2 linked regions of the Elephas maximus indicus genome follow. Each later gene encodes a partner of the first gene's protein in a complex. Links are inferred from orthologs where the notes say so. Each region holds a gene or a part of one and is shown on either strand. Other genes may lie near its edges.

What was found. The genes of interacting proteins can lie anywhere in the genome.
Region 2: EIF3I (region 1) and EIF3L share a complex: the UniProt entries of both Homo sapiens proteins name them as parts of the eukaryotic translation initiation factor 3 (eIF-3) complex. The link is inferred for Elephas maximus indicus from reciprocal best matches to the Homo sapiens genes EIF3I and EIF3L.

What each region holds. Positions count from the first base shown.
Region 1 is NC_064821.1:73,124,102-73,131,170, forward strand, and holds the start of EIF3I (eukaryotic translation initiation factor 3 subunit I), read left to right. Parts: upstream 1-4,142; coding exon 4,143-4,145; coding exon of another isoform or gene 4,146-4,240; coding exon 4,241-4,333; exon of another isoform or gene 4,334-4,355; intron 4,356-5,672; coding exon 5,673-5,760; intron 5,761-6,069; coding exon 6,070-6,135; intron 6,136-7,068; coding exon 7,069-7,069. Other genes in the region: TMEM234 (transmembrane protein 234), read right to left, coding at 559-653, 995-1,087, 2,701-2,767, 3,561-3,712, 4,009-4,264. UniProt on the Homo sapiens protein: Component of the eukaryotic translation initiation factor 3 (eIF-3) complex, which is required for several steps in the initiation of protein synthesis.
Region 2 is NC_064822.1:181,743,440-181,751,352, reverse strand, and holds the start of EIF3L (eukaryotic translation initiation factor 3 subunit L), read right to left. Parts: upstream 3,012-7,913; 5' UTR 2,944-3,011; coding exon 2,911-2,943; intron 2,354-2,910; coding exon 2,305-2,353; intron 1,200-2,304; coding exon 989-1,199; intron 1-988. UniProt on the Homo sapiens protein: Component of the eukaryotic translation initiation factor 3 (eIF-3) complex, which is required for several steps in the initiation of protein synthesis.

The DNA of each region.
Region 1 (7,069 bases):
GTTAGCTAGTGCTGGGGCTCACAGTTGTCCTACCATTTGAGATGGGCTGGCAGTTGAGGAATCCCGCCCATCTCATGGGTGGGACAGCTCATCTCCCCTACACCTGCCACTTCTCCCCTCAATTCCACCCCTTCAGTCAGCCAAGGTACTCTGACTGAGCCCTGGGGCCTCCTGTTTGCATTTCTAGCTCAAAGACTGCAGAGGTCCTTTGCATGCTGCTGGGGCTCTGTAGCTCATCGGTGCTGCTGCTGCAATGGCCCAGATCAGGCCATAGTAATGGGGGCTGGTCAGGGGGCCTGAGATGATAGCAGAAAGGGAACTGCTGTGGGTGAGTCTGAAGTCTCCTGTGCTAAATCCTAGCAGCTGAACAGCACCTGAAGGTTTCAGAATCTTTTCACTCTGTTCTCTTACTGTGATCCACGAGGTAGCTATTATCCCCATAAGGGATGAGGAAGCTGAGGCTCAGAGAGGGGAAGTGCTAGGTCTCTGCTCACACCTGGATCTCATGGGCCAGTGGCTTCCTGGAGACAGCAGAGCTGGTGGGTGGGGTCTGTGCATTCAGAGGGTGGACAGTTGCCCCTGGGTCTTGCTCACTGAACTTGTGATGCAGAGTGCAATTCCTGTCACGGTGAGCACCATGCCTGCAACTGCTTCTGCGATAACAGGCGGAAATGGAAGAGCTGTGAGCCCAGCCATGCCAGCAGGAGCTAGTACAGGGCTGGGGAAGGGTTTGGGGCATCTGGTCCCAACTCCTACCCCAACCTCTGTCCCCAACCCAGACTGCCTAGGGGAAAGCAGCTCTAATGGCCACAAGGAAGCAGCAGAGGCTGGACAGCCAGAGGAGCCGGGCAGAATGGAGAAGGGCCTCTCCCCACCTGTCCATCTTTCAGTTAGCAGCACACCTTTTTTAACCATTTGGGCTCTGGAAAAGAACTAATGTGGGTGTGTCAAAGCCCAAGTAGCTGCTTCCCACACTCCCAGTGGCCTGACTTACGTTTTCCACCAATATCTTCTCCAAGTACCTTTCCAACAACCAGCGTGAAGACGACGGCCAGAGAGTTACAGATGGGCACAGCTAGGGTTAGATCTGGGTAGTCAGAAGGAGAAGAATCACTGAGAGGCAAAAAATGTCTTTCTAGGCACAAAACATTTTGGTTTCATCATCAAGACGGCCCTTTAAGAGAGGGATCATGACCGCACTTTCCAGATAAGTCACAGCAAGCTTAGGACTCAAGCCCAGGTCTCCTGACACCAAATTCAGTGCTTCCTCAGGATTCCACCATGAAGACCTGATCCCCAAGGTCTGGGACCACCATGTTTTGATGCTGAGGATGAGGTCTTTGCATTCAGCTCCTCAGAGCTCAAGGGCATCTGGGAGTGCATCAGGCCAGCGGTTTTCAAGCTTTCTTTAAATGAAATTTTATGAGAAGTCCAAAATGTAAAATACATGAAAGTGGAGTGACTCTAGAGAAAGCTGGGGTGGCAGATCTGGAGGCTGGCCTATCTCCTTGCCCTCTCATGGCCTCTGAGGGGTTCCCCAGAACTATCTGGGGTCCAGACTCCCCTCAAGTCCCTGGGGGCCTGGGTAAGACTCCAGGGGAGGCAAACCACTGCAGGGGGACTTCTCATAGCAAAGTTCGAGAGCATAAAACTTTAAATAATCTATGGCTTCAGATCCTCTGCACTGACATGTTATGGGATTAGGTGAAATAAATTGGCCAAAATTTTGTAAGCTCCTCTCTGAATGGTGATAGTCATGTCTGCTTCACAGGGTCATGATGGGAATAAAATGTGTAATACAGTGGAATATAAGTCCTGATCCATACTATGACATGAATGAACCTTGAAAACATTATGCTAAGTGAAATGTCAGCCACAAAAAGACACATAGTATATGATCCCAATAATATGAAACATCTAGAATAGGCAAAGGTGTAGTGACTAAAGTTTATTAGTGGTTACCAGTGGTGGAAGGGAGAGGAGAAGGCGGAATCACTGCCTAGGCGGCAGTGAGCTTCTGTTAAGGGTGACAGAAAAATTTGGAAATGGATAGTGATGATGGTTGCACAACATGAGGACCATAATTAATGTCACTAGATTGTACATGTAAAAAAATGTTGAAATGGCAAATATTTTGTTATACATATATTTACCACAATAAATATATTAGAATAAAAAATAATAGAACGTGTAAAATTAGCACAGTATCTTTGCAATAGAGTCCAGTCAACAAATCTTAGGGAAAAGGAAATTCATATTTATTGAGCTCCTACTGTGTGCCTGACACTCTGCTGGATGCTTCTCGTAAAGAAAAAAAAAAAATTTTTTTTTTTTTATATTTAATCCTCACACTACGAAGCAGGTCATATAAAACTGAGGCTCAAATAAGAGACTTGCTCAAGGTCGAGGAAGGTAGCACACGGTAGAAGTAAGAATGTCAAAGCCAGCACAGCAAGATGAACCTTCTTCCTCCTCCGCTGCTGCACAAGACTACCAGGCTTCACACCAACCCTAGTGCTTGATAGCATACCAAAACCAGCCTGCTATGCCCCTACTGCTCAGAGAAGAGGGTGCAACGAGGAAACCAGAGACAGTGTTCTCCCTCACTGTTGGGAACAGATATTTCAAGGTCCTTCCCAAAAATTTCTCTCCTGGGTGACCTTCACCACTAAACAGAATGGTTCCAAGCCAGAGACCCACCTGTGGATGCCAAGGTGAGGTAGTAGAGAAGGGAGCCACACTGGTTGAGGAGAAAGGGCATCAGGTACTGGGAACAGGAGAAGCTACAGTAAGTGTGATTGCCAGACTGGGTAGGGCAGCACTGCCTTCTTCGAGCTTCTAGCATATGCCTTTCCTTGGAGGGAGAGGTGGTTCTAAGGGCCCAGGGAGCACTAAGCCCTCAGAGGACCTTTCCAGGGCAAAAAGGGAAACAGTTACTGACTGAACTCCATGCTTTTGCCCTGGAATGCCCTCTCCCTCAGCTCTGCTAGCTCCCATCCTCCCCATCCTGCAAGGCCTTGAGTGCATGCCAATGTCACCCCCTCCAGGAAGCCTTCCTTGAGTCCCTCCAGCTCCAGCCTCCCTCCTCTAACTCACACAGCACCGTCATCTGTACCCTTCATACCCTTAGTCCTGAGATAGGTGGATGTGTCTACCTCTCGTCTTTACCACTAGCTTAGGCTGGCAGCCTTGGATTCAGGAGCAGTTCTCCACATCCTCTTTTCCCTCCATCCCCAATTTGAGCGCCAAGCTCTCCCTCTGGAAAGGTCTGTTGCAGAAATCACAATCATAAAGTAATAATAACAGCCATGAATTGAGCACTTATGTACTGGGCTGAACGCTAAATTCTTTTATGTGGCTCATTTCACTTAATCCTCATGACTGTCCTATAAAGTAGGGCATTATTATCCCCATTTTACAGACTATGAAAACAGGCTCTGGGAGGACAAGTGTATCTGCCGGACAAATGGCGGAGCCAGGATTCTGGCCCAGATCTGTTTGATTCCAGAAATCAAATCCTTAGCAGCCACCCTCGAGAGGCAGGCCGTTCAGGGACGCACCTCAGTATTCAAGAAGAGGGTCTTCATCTCCTGCAGCAACTGCTTGGCCCAGGTACGCTCATGAACCTGCTGCAGGCCGGCGGAGGCCCGCTTCAGCAGCGGCTGCGTGCCACCCCACAAAGCGGCCACCAGCACCAGGGCCAGCACCTGCCCTGAACGGAGGTTCCGGTCATTTCACCCTCCCCAACCTGCTGCCCGCCTGGCCCGGCCCTCCCCAGCCCTTCATCCAGACCGGGCCCTTCCCTGGCCTTCTGTCCTGGCCGCCCCCCACCTCCCTCCTTCGCGTGATTGGCTGGTAGGTCAGGCCCCGGGAAGCCAGAAAAATTGAACCAGCAGCCTGGGGGCTGGGATTGTGGCAGGGGTGAGGGTTGGAGGGGTGGAGGTGGGGTAGGAAATGAACTCTGAGTGTGGTCTGCGAGGCCATGGAGGGGCGGGGTCAGCTACCCACCAAGAGACGCCGCCATGGCAACGTCACTACCTTCTACTTCCGGGAACGGATAGGCGGAGACCCATAATCCGGAAGTGGCTCCAAGGCTTCTTCCGGTCCTACTCAAGCCGCCGCTCTTTAGCGTCACCGCCGGCATGGTGAGTTCCACTGAGGTGGGGGTGCTGGCTTGGGGGTCCCAGGCTGGGGCAGGAACCCGATTCCGGCCGCTGACACTCTCGTCCTGTCTCCACAGAAGCCGATCCTGCTGCAGGGCCATGAGCGGTCCATTACGCAAATCAAGTACAACCGCGAGGGAGACCTTCTCTTCACCGTGGCCAAGGACCCTGTGAGCCTCATCCTGAGGGCCGGTGGGTGGGACCATGCGGAGGGGAGCTGCCAGGGTGATGGTTGTACAAACTAATTTTGCCGCTAGAGGGGACCCAAACAAAGATCGCACGGTTCTGAGAACCAGGGAACCAGGGTAGGGGAACACACCACCCCTTCTAGAGGAAAGCTGATCCATGGGCCGCGAGGGACACAGGGGATTTAATGGGGTGATGGCGCAATGGTTAAGCACTGGGCTGCTAACCGAAAAGTTGACGGTTCGAACCCACCCAGTGACTCCCCGGGAGAAAGACCTGGAGATCTGTTCCTGTAAAGATTACAGCCTAGAAAACCCCGTGGAGCAATTCTACTCTGTCACGTGGGGTCGCTGTGAGTCGAAATTGGCACCTAACGAGTTTCATTTCATTCAGTGAGCTCACTGAGTGCAAACAGTCCCTCGTGGTACTGCCTTTACACAGAATATTAACACTAATGCTTAAAAGTGGGGCTCTCAACCCAAACAGACCTGGATTTCAATCCTGACTGTTGGATCTGTTAGCATTGTGACTTTGAGTATGTCACTTAACCTTTTTAAACTTCCAAGTTTCCGTTTTTATAAAATACGGTGCAGCGGTTAAGAGCTCAGCTGCTAACCGAAAAAGATGGTCAGTTCTAATCCACCAGCCGCTCTCTGGAAACATGGGGCGGTTCTGCTCCGTCCTATAGGGTCGCTATGAGTGAGAATCAACTTGAGGGCAGTGGGTTTATTTTTTATATATAACCCCAAGCTCCCTCACGGGGTTGTCTTTAGGATTAAATGAGATCATTTATGTAAGGAGCTTAGCACAGTACCTGGTGCATGTTGTTGTGTGCCATCAAGTCGATTCCAACTCACAGCAGCCCTATGGTGCATATGAGTGGTTAATTAGTGTTAGTTAGTTATATTTAAGCTCTTTCGACTTCATTTCATTGATGCCTCCCAGTTACCCTTTGAAGAAGACGTTATTCTTATGGCCACTTTACAGATGGGAAAAGCGAAGGTCAGAGGGAAGAAGTGCTCTATTTGAGATAATACAATGATAATCCAGTCCCTAGTGCCAGTATGAACACAGGCTTCCCTACTGCCAATTGCTCCCATTGGGACAGGACACCAAAGCTGTTTTTTTTTGGACTAGAGCTCAGCTTGACCTTTTATTCTTCTGAAGGTCTGGGAATATGTGCAGTGACAAAAGAGGACACTTTTGTAAGCCTCCTGACTCCCTTGTTTACCTGCCGGCATCTAGAGGCTGCTGAGGGTTCTGGGGTAAAATAGGCCACTGCTCTGCCTGAGATGTTAGCATCCTGTCATTTGATTCTTCCAGATCGTCAATGTATGGTACTCCGTGAATGGGGAAAGGCTGGGCACCTACATGGGCCACACTGGAGCTGTGTGGTGTGTGGATGCCGACTGTATCCTTACCTTTACTCTTTGAGTCTATGTTCCCAGGTCTGCCAGCAATGGAGAGGTTGCTGAGCTTGGGGCTGGTGGTTTGGGATGCTGTTGTGGGTCTAGAGAATGATACCTCCCTCTCTAGTCTCTTCCCTGGTTGGGCAAACGTTTGGGAAAACTTCCAGTTGTGGATAAGGAGGTGCAAATGCTTTGAGGTAGGAAGGGGGAAGAAAGACTGTTTGGAACTGAACATGGAAGTGATTCACTTGGCCTCCCAAGAGGACAAGGGCTCAGGCAAACCTGGTCTTGTTCCTTAATACGCACTTCAGGGGACACCAAGCATGTCCTCACTGGCTCAGCTGACAACAGCTGTCGTCTCTGGGACTGTGAAACAGGTAAGCCTGGGTCATTCACTTTTTCAGCAAACATTGAGTACCTACAGTATGCCTTTTTAAGTGAACAGGTTCTTGGGAAATAGAAACAGAAGAGAAGATAAGGAAGACAGATGAGAAAAGAGGCACTTCGTTAAGATAAAAGCCATGTTAGAGGAAGCATAGAGTACTGTAGTAGGATCAAGGGGGCAACTGACTGCCTGGAGTAGAGGCGGGAGCAGCCAGGGAAAACTTCTCAAGGTACACGTAATATGAGCTGGGGCTGGAAGGGTGAAAGAAGGTCATCACTTTGGCGCATGCAGGAATGAAAGCATAGCAAGTGTTAAGCCCAAGTCATCTGATCTCGCTGGAGTTCCTGCTTCTTGGGTGGTGAAATAGGTAGACAGTAGAGAAGATGAGGCTGGATAGGTAGGCTAGAGCCAGAACAGACGTTGAGTGCCAACTCAGGAGCGTGGCTTTGTTCTGTAGGCCTTGGCAAGCTATGGAGGTCTCAGAGCAGGGAAGTGGCAATGTGTTTACTTTTAACAAGTTCAGGTAGCAGTGGGCAGCGTGCATTGGAAGAGCTAAGACTAAAGACAGAGAAGCCTGTTAAGCTGCTTCATTTAGTACATATTTACTGGGCACCCAATTCTGTCCCAGGCACTGGGGACACGCAGAGAAATTAGACCAGGTCTCTGCTGTGGAGGAGCGCAGTCTAAGGGGGAGACAGATGATTGCAATCCACCATGAGCAGCACCACGTTAGCTGATGTCGGAGGAGAGATGAGGGGAAGAAATTAAGACTTGAGCCAAAGCAGTAGCAGTGAGGAAGAGGAGAGGGGTGGATTGGAGTCACTGGAGCAGGAGAAACAGTGGCATATGATGCTAGCCAGGTGTAAGGAGTGTCTTCCCATGATGGCAGTGGGCAAAGGGTAGCCCAGACTCTGTCTGTCGCCAGG
Region 2 (7,913 bases), on another chromosome or scaffold:
TGACCTGTCTAATCTCTAAAGCCCATTACCCAAGGGCAAACCCACTGTCGTGGAGTTGATTCTGACTCATGTGACCCTACAGGACACAGGAGAACTGCCCCATAAGGTCTCCTAGGCTGTAATCTTTATGGAAACAGACTGCCACATCTTTCTCCTGTGAAGCAGCTGGTAGGTTCAAATCGCCAACTCCTCAGTTAGCATTTGAGCTCTTAATCACTGAGCCACCAGGGTTCCTTTACACAATGGCAATTAGCCTCAATACTGAAGAAACCACTCCAGAGTCTGGCTGGCTAACCCTAGTATGTACCGAGAGGTTGCACAGCACAGGGGTTTAGAAATCTGGCTTTGGTATCAGACTATACAGGTTAAAACTCAGCTCATCCACTTCACTAGCTATCTGACTTATGCTCGCTGTTTTGTTTCTGCAACTGTGAAATGAGGAAAACAATGGTACCTAACTTCATGGGATTACTGTGAAGGGTAAATGAATAAATACAGGAAGATCACTTTGAACACTACCTAGTTCATACTGATACCACTACTGTAACAATAAATGATAATTGCTATTATAATCACTAATTTTGATATTATACAAGTTCCTGGGGAAGCAGGGTCCAACAAAATAACATGTCCCTATCTCCAAGAATATAGGGTCACTATAAGTTGGCAATGGGGTTGGCTTTTACAGAAACCCCTGATGGTGTAGTGATTAAGAGCTACAGCTGCTAACCAAAAGGTCGGCAGTTTGAATCCACCAGGCGCTCCTTGGAAACTCCAACGGGCGATTCTACTTTGTCCCATAGGGTCGCTATGAGTCGGAATCAACTTAACGGCAACGGGGCCTGGTTTTTTGTTTGTTTGTTTGTTTATCTCCAAGAAATCGTAGAGACCCCCCTGAACATTCTTTTCACAGAAAAACTATTGAACATCACCCGTTCTGTAGGCCAGGCCCACTCAGAGAGAGGTCAATGTAGCCAGTAGCCCATACCTGTTTTCATAGATGTCCTGGATCTCATAGACCTTCTGGTCAATGACATCACTGGAGACACGACTGGCCTGTAGCTCATACACCTTCTGGTCGATCAAATCCGAGACGGTTTTGTGGAAATACTGGATGAAGTTTTTGATCACTTCAGGGATGACTTGGTAGGTCTGCTGTTCATACTGACGTTCATAAGCCAGGTCCTGCTTTGGATCTCCTAGAGGTTGGATAAAACACAAAGTGCTTCCAGACCCACATATGTGATGTAACAAAAGGCACGACCACCCCAAGTCATCCCAAACGAAACTCCAGCCCATGAAAAAATCTAGAGCTGCCATCAAATCACTCCAATTCATGGTGATCCCACGTGTCAGAGCAGAACTGTGCTCTGTAGAGTCTTCAATGGCTGATTTTTAGGACGCAGATTGCCGGGCCTTTCTTCCAAGAGGCCCCTGCGTGCACATGCACCTCTCTGGATAGCAGCTAGGCATGTTGATTTACACCACCCAGAGACTCCCAAGTCTATGATATCAGGTACAAACCTTTTGAACGCTCTGATATAACCCCCACAAATCATCTCGACCCTACTGCTGTATTTCTTCAGAACAGTTATCGCTATCTAAAATTACTCATTTACCTATCATCTGTTTCCCCCACTAGAACCTAAAGTCTATGAGGGCAAGAACCTGGTCTGTCTTGCTCCCAGGTATACCCTCAGGGGCCAGAACAGTTGTGTATGTCTGTTGGGGGGTGGAGGATGACAAGAGGTAGTAGGCACTTAATATTTTTTGAATGACTGAGTGACTGCCAGTACCTAACTATATCATGTCACTAAACCCTTAAGTGCTCCGTTTTCTCATCTGTAAAACGAAAACATTAATGCATGTACTTCACAGAACTATTTTAGGAATTAAATGAAACACTTCTCATAAAGTACTCAGAACAATTCATGGCAAGCCAACTCACTCCAACATTTCAAGAACCCTCAAAGCCTCCCACCTTCCCCCCCTCAATTTTATTTTGGCATAGTTCTAATCACTTTAAACTTCACTTCAAGATTCTCTTTTTTTGCTAACAATTTAAACGGGGAAACCACAGCCAGTCAGTGGGGCTCTTCCTCTGAGACTTTGAAGTAGACCACAAACATGGCCCGGTTTATTAGGGTCCATACAACCTTCCCACTGAAAGCTAACAACTGACTCTAAACCTGGACCATCGACAAGCCCATTTTTAACAGGTACCCGTCAGAGCTGTTCTAGGCCATTCAAAAAGGCACGGGTCCACAGGAGAGCCCGCCTAGCCCTACAAACCCGTGGTCTCACCTGTGTGCATATCATAGTCGCCTGGATAAGCATAGGGATCATATGCGGCCTAGAACGACAAAGGCACAGAAAAGAACAGTCACCAATCTGTGAATGCAAAATGTTCATTCCTGCCAAGTGCCAAGCAGGCTGCTAATGGATACAAAGCTGAATAAAACGCAGTCCCTGCCCTTAAGAAACTCACATTTCTGCAAGAAAACAGAGAACAGACAATGACAACGCAACGTCACCGGGGCAATAAGCTAGAGAAAACTACAAGGACGGTGGGAGCCAGCAGGGTTTGGCAAGACTAAACCCAGGCCCAGAAAAAGCGTTCAGTCCCAGAAAGAGAAGCCTGATAGGAATAGGGCGTAAGCGCCCTCCGGCCGCAGTCCTGGCAAACGGGAGGACGAGGGCACCGAACACACGAAGCGGGCGGGCAGACACAGGGCGGGTGAGGGGCCACGAGCTGTGGCTTCTAAGGGCCGCGCGGAGAGGCAGGCCGGAGCTGGCCGCGGCCCACGGGGGCTCGGGGAAAGGCCAAGACGCCGCTTCCCCGCGGGCCCCAGCATCCATAAAGGCCCTGCCAATGTCGCGGACCCTGCCACGCGCTTAGGCCCATCTTACCTCAGACTCGTAATCATCAGCGGGATACGACATGGCTGCGGCGCTAGCGGAACACCGCCGAAGAGAGCGAAAAGACCAGCCCTCGCCGGCGTGATGACTCCGGAAGTTCTACCCCGCTTGGCCCTGCGGGGACCGGAAGCCTTTCTGAGGGCGCCGGCACCCTGAGACCGCCACGTTAAGAAGGGCAAAAATTACGAAACACCTAAATTTTTTCTTCCCTTTCCAAATAGAGACTTTGCAAGGGGGGACATTTTATATCACTTGCATAAATCAGAAATAGGGACGTGAACTATTTCATCATAAATAAACAATGGGCAAATTAAGGGAAACAAGAAGGAATGCCACACAAAAAATGGCTGACAGCTCCCTCGGGCTGCCTTCTCGCGTGAAGAAAAAGCCGGATGAACGGGGTCTGAATGCAGATTTAGTCGTCAACGGGTTGCCTGCGACCAGCAACGTTTTCAAACGTTCTGGTTTCAAATTTTACTGGGTGGAAAAGTTGAGCCTCGGTCCCACTGAGTGAGAGGTCATCATGAAAAGGTGCCCCCCAACTTTGGGCATTAAATTGGAGCAGGCAAAGATGAAGCCAGCTGTGGCGTGAGGCCCTGGGGCGAGTCCTGGGAGCTGTGCTGCGCTTGAGCGCCCAGTCTGTGTGTGGTGGTCGGGGAGGGGTCGTGGGGTGGATTCGAGTCGCTCGGAAACCCTCGAGTTAGGGATGGAGGTTATAAAACAAGGGAATCCCGGGTGGTGGGTTTATTTCTGTTTTCGGTCAAGGACCTTAGTTTAGCCATCGGCTCATTCCCAACACACTAGTCAGGTGATCTGGGTTCCAATGTGACTTGCTGTGTGACCCGTAGCGTGTCGCACCCCTTCTGCCCCAGCCACCGCGTCCTGTAGTCACACTGCCTTCCTTGCTTTTCCCATCCAGAGACACTCCGCCTCGGGGTTTTTGCACTCACAGTTACCTGCCTCTGGACTCTAGAATGCAGCCCGCTCAGATACCGCACGGCTCGCTTTGTCTTCAAGTGTTTATTCTGAAGTTATCACTCGAGCATCCCATTTAGAATTACAACGCCCCGTCCCAACTACCTATGCCCTTTCCTGCTTTGTGTTTCCCCGTCGCACTATGGTCGAATTGCCACCATGGAACTAATGGAGGTTACGCTTTGGGACCCCTTCATTCCCAGAGTCCTTCCATGGCTCTGGGTAGCCCCTAACAATGTCCTCACGTGGTCATGTATTTTTGTAAAATTTACAAAATAGTATTTATTGCAATTGGTTGTTAGGACCAAACTATCTTTCCACTTGGATTCCCCTCTGTCGCACTTGCTCTTGTTGATCCAGCTAGAGGAAATCCAATGGGGGAACATTTGAATTAAGTACTTTGCCTCTTCTGTGCATAGTTGTCGTTGCTGGCCTTTCGTTTGTAGGAATACACCTAACCATCCACTGTGGTCAATGAGTGTCGTCAATTAAAGGAATATTTAAGATTAATCAGAGCCTAAGAAAGCTTGAAATATGTGAGATCTTACAATTCATATATGACAAAAATTTCATACAGTTCTCTCCAAATTTGATAATTCCTCAAAATGTTAATAATACAGAGTTGTGAAATCAAAAGGATTTCTAAATTATAAATAATAAAATAAAAATTTGTTCTAATGAGGAAACACAAGCATTTTTCCATTCTCATTATGGAAAATGATGATACAAAATTGTTGTCATATAAAGAGGTTAGCCAACAGAAGAAAACAAAAACTGTGGAGGTGTTTCCACCAATTAATGTTACTTTTCTGGATTTTGTGATTTTGTGGTATTTGTGAGCATATTAAAATTTGCAATTGCTTGATTTCTCACATAATTTGGGTTGTGAGTTCTCTTTCTAGACAAATATTCTCTTTCTAGTTTCATTTTTGTAATGTTCTATTCTTTATTCCTAATGAAAGCTTCAGGCCCCACAAAATTTGGATTACCTGTTTATAACCATCTATCATTCATTCTTCATTCATCTATTCACTCATTTATTTATGGTTTCCTAACTCTTCCAGGGAAACCCTGGTAGCGTAGTAGTTAAGAGCTACAGCTGCTAACCAAAAACTTCAGCAGTTCAAATCCACCAGGTGCTCCTTGGAAACTCTATGGGCAGTTCAACTCTGTCCCACAGGGTCCTTATGAGTCGGAATTGACTCAAAGGCTGGTTTTTTTTTTTTTTTTTTTAACTCTTGCAGAACGTACCCTTTAATTTAGAGAATCACAATGCAAATTAGAATAGTAAAAGCTTCAAGAGGACCTTCCTCACTGGCTACTGGCTTCTCACTTTCTTTGTTGGCCCCTCTTCATCTCTACAATCACGAAATAGTAGATCACTCCCCGGGCTTGGTTCTTGGGTCTCTGCTCTTCTCTACCTTCATTTCCTGTCTCATCCAGTTCAGTAGGTTTAAATATCATCCATATGCCATTGACTCCTCACACGTATCTCTCCATCCCAGACCCTGCCCTGGAAGTGGGCCCATGACCCCTTGCCTAGTCACATTGCAACTTAAAACGTCCAAATTCAGTATCTGATCTCCTGGCTCAAACCTGCTGCTCCCATACTTTTCCCCACCTCAGTTAAGACAACCATTTTAGGAAGTAACATATGATCAGGAACCTATGGTACCGAAGGAAGAAGTCCAAGCTGCACTGAAGGCATTGGCAAAAAACAAGGCTCCAGGAATTGACAGAATACCAACTGAGATGTTTCAACAAACTTGCAGCACTGGAAGTGCTCACTCGTCTATGCCAAGAAATTTGGAAAACAGCCACCTGGCCAACAAACTGGAAAAGATCCATATTTATGCCTATACCCAAGAAAGGTGATCCAACCGAATGTGGAAAATATCAAACAATATCATTAATATTACATGCAAGCAAAATTTTGCTGAAGATCATTCAAAAGCGCCTGCAGCAGTATATCGACAGGGAACTGCCAGAAAGTCAAGCCGGATTTGGAAGAGGACATGGAACCAGGGATAACATTGCTGTTGTCAGATGGACCCTGGCTGAAAGCAGAGAATACCAGAAGGATGTTTACCTGTGTGTTGTTGACTATGCAATGACATTCGACTGTGTGGATCATAACAAATTTTGGATAACATTGCAAAAAATGGGAATTGCAGAACACTTAATTCTGCTCATGAGGAATCTGTACGTGGACCAAGAGGCAGTCGTTTGAACAGAACAAGGGGATACTGCATGGTTTAAAGTCAGGAAAGGTGTACAGTGGTGTTGTATCTATTCACCATACCTATTCAACCTGTATGCTAAGCAAATAATCCAAGAAGCTGGACTATACGAAGAAGAATGGGGCATCAGAATTAAAGGAAGACTCATTAACAACATGCGTTATACAGATGACACAACCCTGCTTGCTGAAATTGAAGAGGACTTGAAACACTTACTGAAGAAGATCAAAGACCACAGCCTTCAGTATGGATTATACCTCAACATAAAGGAAACAAAAATCCTCACAACTGGACCAATAAGCAACATCATGATAAATGGAGAAAAGACTGAGGTTGTCAAGAATTTCATTTTACTTGGATCCACAATCAGTACCCATGGAAGCAGCAGTCAAGAAATCAAAAGACGCGTTGCAGTGGCCAAATTAGCTGCAAGAGATCTCTTTAAAGTGTTAAAAAGCAAAGATGTCACCTTGAGGACTAAAGTGTGCCTGACCCAAGCCAAGGTGTTTTCAATCGCCTCATATGCATGTGAAAGTTGGACAATGAATAAGGAAGACCAAAGAAGAATTGATGCCTTAGAATTGTGGTGTTGGTGAAGAATATTGGATATACCATGGACTGCCAAAAGAATGAACACATTTGTCTCAGAAGAAGTGTAACCAGAGTGCTCCTTAGAAGTTAGGATAGCGAGACTATGTCTCACATACTTTGGACATTTTACCAGGAGGGGTCAGTCCCTGGAGAAGGACATCATGCTTGGTAAAGTAGAGGGTCAGCAAAAAAGAGGAAGACTCTCAAGGAGAGGGATTGACACAGTGGCTGCAACAATGGGCTCAAGCATAGCAACATTTGTGAAGATGATGCACGATGGGGCAGTGTTTTGTTCTGTTGTACATAGGGTCACTATAAGTTGGAACTGACTCAACAGCACCTAACAACAACAGTTAAGACAACTCTACTCCTTTAGTTGCTCAGCCCCAAATCTGCAGAACCATCTTTGACTCTTCTGTTTTTCTCACACCCTACATCCAATCCACTTACTGATGTTAAAAATGGTGTGAGTGTCTGATCTCTCTAACGTCTCGATGGAGAGAGAATCACTATTAGCATCAGCCTAAAGCTGATTTACTGTGAGACAGAGGTCAAACATACCACCTCTCTCCAACCTTTTTAGCAATTCTGACATCAGCTGTCCCTCCCGCAGCACTCCACTTCTCTGCTGGGTTCTCACAATTATGGGGCTTATTCGGGAAGTAACAGGTTACAATTCACAGTCAGGAACAACTCAGGATATAGTTCTTCAATCTGGACAGCATCTTCTCAGCTGGGCCTGCAGTCAGGCCTCTTTTTGGCCCTTGGCTCTTCAGCCTCAGACTCTGCTCAAGCAAGTGTTACAAAGCTCTTTAGCTCTGTCAGTAAGTACCTGGACGCACCCCATTCCACCAGCAAGCCTCCTGCCCAAATGTGCTCAACTTTCTCACTCTGTGAGCTAGGAAGCCCACTGCTTGATTTCCTGGTTCTGCTGCCTCTGCTGCCACCATTTCTCTGCCACTGCTTCTCACTGTCTACAGTATTACAGCTCTCTCTCTGTCTCTTGGGTCTAGGAAGTTCTCGACACAAGGACTCTGGGTCCAAAGGACGTGATACACTCCTAGCTTTTCTTTCTTAGTGGTAGTGAGGACGTGCCTTCTGCTCTGGGATTGGCTCTCTTTCAAGCATATCAGGATGGCAAAACTGGCCAATCTCCTCATAGAGGTTCCATAGACCTTATTGGCATGG